2 linked regions of the Cricetulus griseus genome follow. The protein of the gene in region 1 interacts with the protein of each later gene in a pairwise test. Links are inferred from orthologs where the notes say so. Each region holds a gene or a part of one and is shown on either strand. Other genes may lie near its edges.

The links.
Region 2: the proteins of Nr4a1 (region 1) and Prdx4 interact in a two-hybrid assay, tested with the Homo sapiens proteins (2 studies listed by BioGRID and IntAct). The link is inferred for Cricetulus griseus from reciprocal best matches to the Homo sapiens genes NR4A1 and PRDX4.

What each region holds. Positions count from the first base shown.
Region 1 is NC_048595.1:397,684,985-397,689,506, reverse strand, and holds the start of Nr4a1 (nuclear receptor subfamily 4 group A member 1), read right to left. Parts: upstream 2,838-4,522; 5' UTR 2,726-2,837; intron 2,588-2,725; exon of another isoform or gene 1,744-2,587; 5' UTR 1,457-1,743; intron 1-1,456. UniProt on the Homo sapiens protein: Orphan nuclear receptor. Binds the NGFI-B response element (NBRE) 5'-AAAGGTCA-3'. Binds 9-cis-retinoic acid outside of its ligand-binding (NR LBD) domain.
Region 2 is NC_048604.1:90,798,674-90,803,053, forward strand, and holds the start of Prdx4 (peroxiredoxin-4), read right to left. Parts: upstream 3,028-4,380; 5' UTR 2,936-3,027; coding exon 2,686-2,935; intron 1-2,685. UniProt on the Homo sapiens protein: Thiol-specific peroxidase that catalyzes the reduction of hydrogen peroxide and organic hydroperoxides to water and alcohols, respectively.

The sequences.
Region 1 (4,522 bases):
TCAGGCCAAAAAGGCCAACCCAAGGGTAGCCAAGGGGTGGCTTTGTGTCTCTGTCCCTGCTTAAATGGGTGGTGACTAGGGGGACCCATTTGGGAGTGAGAATCCATCCTGAAGGATCCTGCTTTGTGCCCATTCTACAAGCTGCCAACCAGGAACCACGTGGTCAAGAATCCCTTCTGCATTCAGAGGTTTCCTCAGGAGGCTCCCAAACTCCAGAGCTCACTCCCATAGTCACAATCTTCTCTCCCCCTGCCTGAAATCCTTCTTGACAGGCCCTACTCTCTGGCAACCCCACAGCCCCTTTTTCTCCTGCTTCTAGCCAACCCTAGAATCTGTGGTTTACCTCAAAATCCCAGAATCAGTTCTGTTCTTTCCCATACTCAACAGTATATCCATTTGTAGACAAAGGAACCAAGGCACAACAGTGGCCAGGAATGAGGGGGCCTCAGGCTGACTTCCCCCCGCCCTAGCAGCTCTTTTCCAGCAGCTTTGGAAAGAAGGCGATCCTCTGCTCCCTCTTTTTATTTTTCCACAAGTCTTTTTGAAAATACATTCTAAAATATTTGCCAGTGTAGGAGAAATACATTTATTCAGACAGGAATGGAAAAAAAAATGCTGTTAGCAGTTTTTCCATGGAGGCTTCCAGCCCACAGCAGTCTCTCTATAAATACTCCTACCCCAACCTGCCTCAATTATCTACTCTATTATAATAATGAAATAAAGCAGATAGAAAAATGTGAAATGCTAACACTCTTGGACAGCTTGAAGAGACTGGCTGAGATGGCAGAGGTGGATAAGATCCAATTGGCATGTGATAGACACACAGGTCGCTAAGAGATGAACAGCTATGGAGGAACCTTGGACAAAGAGGGCACCCTCTGGATACAAATAGTACCCCCTGGACATGGAGGGGTACCCCCTGGACACGGAGGGTACTCCCTGGACACGGAGGGTACCCCCTGGACACAAAAGGCACTCAGACTTAGCTCTCCTTGCTCTTCCTCAGGAGCAGGACTCTCTGGCCCACCAGCTTCCAGCTTTCTCCAGATGTGGGACTTCAAAGGAGTGACTAGCCTGCTCTGAGCTCCTGTTTCCTCCTTGGAGACACAAGCATGGTAACATACCTGCTCCATAGCACCATCATGAAGACAGTGCCTTTGATAGCAGACATGAAGGTAGCAGGCAGTGACAAATCTACCATTTCCATTCAGGGAGACCTGAGGAAAAGCCAGGTCTATGATTCTTGCCTTGGAGCTGTTCCTGCAAAGTGCCTGGCCTAACTCAATCCAGTTGATGTTTATTTGAGGGAAAGGGCAATGTGACCTCTTACTGTTATAATAGATACCCCACAAACAGCCCCACTGTGGTTCCTTTAACTGCCTTCCTCAGCTAGTCAGTGGCCACGCAGCCCACCACAGCCTGGTTTTCTAATTCTCAGAGAGTACTCTCTACTCACCGTGGTGTCCCTCATTCTTGCCATCGCCTTTCTGCCATTTCCCAGCTGCTCCTGTAGACTGGAGAGCCAAGAAGCAGGTGGACCACTCACTGGTTTGTAAGGTTTGACCTCCTGGAGCAGGTAAGGACGAGCACAGTCTTCACCAGTACTGACCTACATTCTAGAGAGTTCCCAAGACAGGAAGGCAAAGCCCTGCAACCAAGAGCTGATTCTACTGTACAGTATAGGTAGGAGCTCCAGATGACATGGCGCTAAGGAGTGAGTAGGGGCTCAATCCCAGGGCCACCCTGGAGGAAGAGAATGTGGGGTACAGTATGAAAAAGACAGAATAGAAATGGAGAAAGAACCACCCCATGGAGGTTAGGCTGTCACAAATTTCAAGGTATGAGACAGGGATAGGATGACAGTCCCAAGGGTGGAAAAACAATAAGCCATGGTGAGCCACAAGGAACAAGGCCATCTACCACATCTGATGGCCTGGATTCAGCTGCCCAGAGCTGGGGAGTCAGCACCTCACTTCCTCCCTGCCTGATGGAGAGGATGTAGAGGGGTTAACTAATCTGCTGGGCCCAAAAGGGACTCCCCTGCCTAGGTCTCACCCAGAATTCGCCAGGGACTGGAAAGGGGATTTCCCTTTACAGGGCCCTTCCTCAGCCTTAGGATCAAGAACTACTTGGCTGGGGTGCCCCCACCTCTTCCCAGGTTTAAGCATACACTCAAGGACAAAAAAAAAAAAAAAAAAATGGGGACACATAGAGAGGGTTTCCCAGGGGCTATCCCTGGGTTCAAGAAGACCACTGGCAGGCAGATCTCTGTGAGTAAAAGGCCAGCCTTATCTACAGAGTGAGTTTCAGGACAGCCAGGGCTACACAGTGAAACCCTGTGTCGAAAAACAAAACAAAAAATAAAGTAAAATATTTTTTTAAAAAGCCGTAAAAAAAGAAGCAGTAGCACTGGAATAGGATGGGACCAAAGAGCATCTTCCTTTCAGGCGCTTCATCAAGTGTTTCCACATTTGTTGTCCTTTTGTTGTTGTTGTTGTTGCCACTGAGTATCATCTGGGCCAACATGAGAAAGTGGCCCAGGTCACCAGGCCGGAAATGGAGGAAGTTAACGCAAGATTTCCCACAAATCAAAGCCAGGGCTCTTGATTAAAAACACACCAGAATCCTCTGCAACCTTAGGAGTTTCAAAATCAAACTCCCTCCCGTCAAGCAAAGGTTGCAGAGCTGCATAACTGACAACGTGAGAAGTCCGTAATTGCACTACCAGAGGAGCAGGAGCTCGGTCATCCTCCGGTGTCAGGTTCCAGATTTGTCACCTCGCCCGAGACCGGATCTGGTCCGAGCCCTCCTCCCCGGGACCCGCTACCGGAACACCGAGCCGGAAGGAACGTGGCGGTCCCCGTGGCAGCGCCTAGCCGGGGTAAGGCCATGCCCCCCATCCGTCCGCACCAGGCCAGGCGAGCCGGGCGCGGCCGGGGAAGCCGCTACGTCACCACGCTGTCCGCTGGGAGCCCGCCGGGCCAGCCAGGATTCCATTACATCACCCAAGCCGCGCTGTAAACACCGCTGCCAGCCATTGGCTGCCGCGCCACCCTCCCAGCCAATAGCAAATCGTCGTCGAGCCAACGCTTCCTTTGGCTACAGTGTCTGCAAATAGACGTCATTGCCCGGGTGGGGGTGGCCTGGCCCGGGGATAAGGCGGGTGGGTGAGGGTGTGTGGAAATTTGCAGCTGGGTTGGTTTGGAGACTTGGCATCCAAATCTGTTCCAGCCACTCCCGAGAGGCACGGAGTGCGATTAAAGGTGAATGCCCTCAATTCTTAGGCCCTTTTCCGTTAGACCCAAACAAGCCCTGGTGCAAAAATGAAGTTAATTGCTGGGCGTGGTAGCACAAACAAGTCTGTGATAATCAGCATTTGAGAGCTGGCCAGCCTGAGCTTACAAGAAACCCTGCCTCGAAGAAAAGCAAAACAGAAGGGCTGGAGAAACGGCTCAGCTGTCGAAAGCGCTGGCTGCTCTTGAAGAGGACATGGGTTTTGGGTCCTCACAACCCTTCTGGATTCCAGTCCACGAGCTCCAACGCCCTCTTGAACCTCAGGCATGTACGTGGTGCACATACATATATAAGCAGGCAAAACTCTCACACATATAAAATAAGATTTTAAAGTTTGTATTTTTTTTAAAGCAAAACAGCCAAAAGTACCACAACTTGGAAGAAGGGAGAAGAAAGAAATGAGAGATGACGAGGTACAGAAAGGTGGAACATGCTTCCGGGAATGCTCAGGGCAAAGCCCTGTGAGAAGACACCACAGAGAACAAAAAAGAGACTCTTTTCCACCCAGGATGTAGTCAGAGCTCAGTTTAGGAGCCTGGTGTCCAACAATTTTGTAAGTAGCCAATGAGTGTCGTTTTATCGCTCAGGCTTCTCCAGAAAAGCAGATGCCGTAGCACATAATCAGCTATCAGTAGCCTCATAGTCCCAGAGGTGGGAAAACAAGATAAAACTACACCTGTTATACAGAGGTTTTTTCCCCCTGTCACTATACCCTAAATAATTGAGTATTACAATAATTCACATAATACTTATCACACTAGACATTATCAGTTCGCGGAGCTTTAAAGTATAAAGAAGAGCCAGGTGTGGTGTTTTGTAATCCCAGCTCTCGGGAGGCAGGGAAAAGAGGATCTTGAATATGAAGCCAACCTGGGCCATACAGTAAGACTGTCTTAAACCCTAAATAATTATAGGGGAGAATGTGTATGTGGTACATGCGAATGTCACACTCTTTTACATAAGGAATTTAACCCCTCATATCCTGGCATCCTGGGGGAGTCCTAGGATATCCCCAATGGATAGCAGGGAATCTCTGACTATAGAAATGTAGAGAAATGTCTCGGGAAATTGGGGAACCAAGAATGCCCAAATCTGCTGTATGCACACAGGAAGCCTAGGGAAGCCAGAACAGAGAACAGAGAACATCCCAGTGTGAGTGGAGGACCAGGAGCTTCCTGTGGAACGTGAATGCCTGAGCTCACGATGAGAGTGAGCTCCTGTTCCCCTG
Region 2 (4,380 bases), on another chromosome or scaffold:
ACAAGCAAGTACTTCTGGATTGAGAGTGAGTTGTTGCACATTTCTGTAATAGGAGGAAATGCTAAATTTCAGTTGGATGTTAGTTAAAATACTTTTTTTATGTAGAATTTTTCCTGGTTACTGTAATTAACACACATTAATTGAATGAAAGGAGAAAAATGTTTCTGTCCATGCCCACAAAGTCTTATATCTTATTCTTGTACTAAACACCACTGGCTATTTCATCACAGCCCCTTCAAGTTATCCCAGATCATGGGATAGTTTTCCTAGAAGGTTTTGAAAAAGGAAATTCCCCAACCCCTTTGAACTGGTTTCAAATGACCCGATGCACATTCAATCGTGCTGCTGTCCTATAAAGGCATGCTGTAACTCTAGCTAGCACCCTTTGATAATAATGTTCCTTCATGCTGTTGACACATTCAAATAACACTTTCAAAACCATTACAAATACTTGCTTCCAAGTTGAACTAAAGTTTCTAGAATTAAGCCTTATATTTTTGTGTAAAAGCCAGCACTAACAGTTGCTCTACAGAGACAAACTGAGGATGAATTTCTTTGTGAAGTTTATATATAACATGTGATTTCTTACCCTGAGTCAGAACTACCTAATATAAACAATCCTGATCTTATTAAGGAGGGCCAGAAAAGAATATAAGAAACGTGCTAAAGTCTGTATATTTTATAGTCATCACTTCAAATGCTGAAATAAGAAAGAGATAATAATAATTGTAATGATCTGTTACAACACTCCTTAAGGATTTTACATATACAGAAAACCATGTCAGGGAAATAAATCTTGTTCTGAAAATTGATATTTGCAAATTTATGGTTTGATATTAACTGCAGTTACTTTGCTAAGATTTTTAAATAAAAAATTCCTTAAAAAACCCTCTGTATCTATTAAAAACAAAACAAACAAAAAACATAGTGATACACACCTTTAATCCCAGCATTCAGGAGGCAGAGGCAGGTGGTTCTCTGTGAGTTCGAAGCCAGCCTGGTGGTCTACATAGTGAGTTCCAGGACAGCCAGGGCTACATAGAAAACCTTGTCTCAAAAAACAAACAACACTGTCTTAAATATGCATTAGCATAAGGGTTCTGGTAAACACAGAGAAGAATAATGAAGACAACTTAAACCCTCTGTCTATCATTGGTTTTACTATTGTTAACATTTTGACCTTTCCTACTTTTTCCAAACACATATCTGGATCATGTTGCATCCTCATCTTTTCCGTCATTGAAAATGTAGTTAAAATGATTTGAAAATATAGACTTAATTGCTCTAAAATACCCCCTTTAATTCTAGGTAAGTCTGTATATGACAAAAACATGTAAAAATTATATAAAAATTGAAAGGTTTTTGGTAAACAGAAAGCTACTATACCTACTAGTTTTTCTTTACTTCCAAATACAGCTTTGGAATGGCTTTGTTTCCAGCAGGAAGTATATTTGAGTAAACACATTTCAGACTGTCTTCCTCAGTCAAGTGAAATCAATGGGACTTGGAAATATTACTGTTTTAAAGCAAAACTGGCTTTCTAAAAACAATCCCAAAGTAGTTATCTGGTACTATGAAACCACAAATGCTTAAGGAGGCAAAACAGCCTTTGTCATTCATTGCATGTGGTAGTGACATCCCATTATCTCTGGAGGTTCATAACTGTGAAGTAGCCAACTGTGGTGGGGCACATTTGTAACCCCAGATCTCTGCAAGCTGAAGTAGGAGGACCATAGTGTTTGAAGCCATTCTATCACATCTGTCCAGACCCTATGCTCAAAAAGCAGACCTCAAATTGTCAAGTATGACTATTTTTTTTCACCGAATACCAGAACATAATGTGCTGCAACAACCAAAATTCAAACATACACCCACAGAATGTCAAATAATCCCTAAGAAAAGTGGGTTAGGGAAAAGCAACTAAGACACAGGCTTTGTCTGGATGTCCTGGTCACTTCTATTTGGCAATCTTAATATCCATATGCAGCAGGCCGCAATTTTCTCACTGTCTACTTAGTCTGACGTGTCCACTAGCTTCAAACACTGGACAGAAAGACAAATAATGAAAAAACCCAATAAACAGTACACAGGATTTACCCATCAGTCCAATTGTGCTACTTCGACTTCCTATCCCAGTTTCCCTCCAAAATACTCTAATAAAGTCTTCATTTTTTTGAACCTTCGATAGTCACTAACTCTACAAATTTGGGGGAGATGACTTCACTAAGAATCTTTGTATGGTATGAAAAAAAAGTTTGACCTTCTCAATATTTGTTTAACCACCTCTCTGTTTAATCAAACTTTCTGTGAATCATTATTCAACTTATCAGTGTACTTTCTTCCCTGAAAAAGACAGGACTGCTGCAAGCATTTTCGGGTATTTAAGGAAGTCTTTTAGTTTTCACAACATCCTTCATGTCTGCAAGCCTGGGACTAGGAACACCCCCATTTGCGGCTTTAGGGGTAACCGCTACCTCTCCCGAAATCTGACCAGAGGAAACTCTTTCTTCACACCAGGAACCCACCTCCATCCTCACACCCACAAAGGCAACGGGGTGGACCCAGAGCTCAGCCTTGGGGGAGCGGCCCAACTCCAGCCCCACCCTTTCGTAGCATCCACAATAAGGGTCTAAGTATCCCCGAGTTCTGCCCCCATCCACCCAACCTTCGCAGAGCACCACCTACTCTTGGCTTTGCTTAGATGCAGGGAGTGATCTGCGGCTGAAAGCCGGGACACCTCTCCCGGGTACACTTGTCCACCAGCATAGAAGTGGCACTCGTTTTCGCGGGTCCGGAACCGATCCTCACTCTCCAAACCCTGCAGAGCTTCGGTCCGCAGCAGGAACAGCAGCAGCGGCGGAAGGATCAGCACCAGCTTTTGGGTCCAGCGACGGGACTGAGTCGTCGCGTCCAGCAGCTTGGACCGCGCCTCCATGACTGAGCGAGCGCGCAAACACGTCCCTCAGCGAAAGCGCGGAGTCCCCTGCCGCCAGAAGGCTAAAACGGCGCGCTGGAGACCACGCGAACCAGGGCGCGGCCTCGCGAGACTTGCTCCGCCCCACTCCGCCCCCCGCCACGTGGGCGCAGGCCCCGCCCCTCCCCCAATGAGCTTGTGCGCCTGCGTCATAGAGTGGGCCAAGCTGAAGTGTTTTCCTAAATTGTAGAAAGCAGCTTCCAAGGGTAGGCGGGGACTGGTCTCCAGAGCTCTGGCGACCCAAGTTCTTGCAGATGTGCTTCCATGTCCATCTCTGTAACAGAGCTTCCCTACCCCCTCACTCCATTTCTTCAGAAGTTCACAGCAACCTATGTGCCTGTGAAGGACAGGGCTTCCCTGTGTAGCTCTGGCTGTCCTGGAACTCGCTCTGTAGACCAGGCTGGTCTCGAACTCAGAGATCCACCTGCCTCTGCATCCCGAGTGCTGGGATTAAAGGCGTGCGCCACCAATGCCTGGCTGCAATTTATATTTCTGATTAAAGTCACCTTCATACATTTTATTGTTGGTTTTGAGAGATCATACTTGTGTGCACTTAGGGTACAGTGTGATGAATATAACGTGGCATGTAGTCATTACCTTATTTTCCTGTCAAGACCTGAAAAGTTCTAAGAAACCCCTCCTAGCACAGTGTAAAAGCACCATTCCCCCTTTACCCACCTACCCCTCTCCCGCTGTTGTTGCCTCTCCTACCCATGATACACTGCTGCATGCCCTGCCACCATTTAGTGACTGCCCCAGCGCCTAGAGCAGTCCCTCCACTTTAGCTTAACAAACACTGAATTGTGACATCACGGTCAGCTTGCTGAGGCACTACTGCTGCCCTTCATGCACTAACCACAACCCAATGTTAGGCCCTGCTTCTCCTTCTATTCACATCTTTAAAAAATATTATGAATTATTATTATTGTTATTATTTTGGTTTTTCGAGAGAGGGTTTCTCTATGTAACAGTTCTGGGTGTCCTGGAACTCACTTTGCAGACCAGGCTGGCCTCGAACTCAGAAATCCACCTGCCATTTTATTTTACTTTAATGGTTGTTTTGTCTGTGTGTGTGTGTGCATTGCTTGTGTGCCTGGAGTGCATAGAGTCTAGAAGATGGCTTCGAAGGATTCCCCTGGAACAGACAGTTGTGAGCTGCCATGAGGGCTCTTGTCCTCTGAGAGAGCAGCTGGCATTCTTAACTACTGAGCCATCTCTCCAGCCCCCTTTATTACAAATTTTTTGATTATGGACCATTACTGTGTCTGGTCTCCCTTCCTCTACACACATTTGACCCATTAATCCTTTCACACCATAAATTCCCAAAGCACAGTTGACATGCATTATATTACTCTATTAGTCCAATATCCTTTTCACCGCAGTGTGATCTATTAATGTAGTTCCAT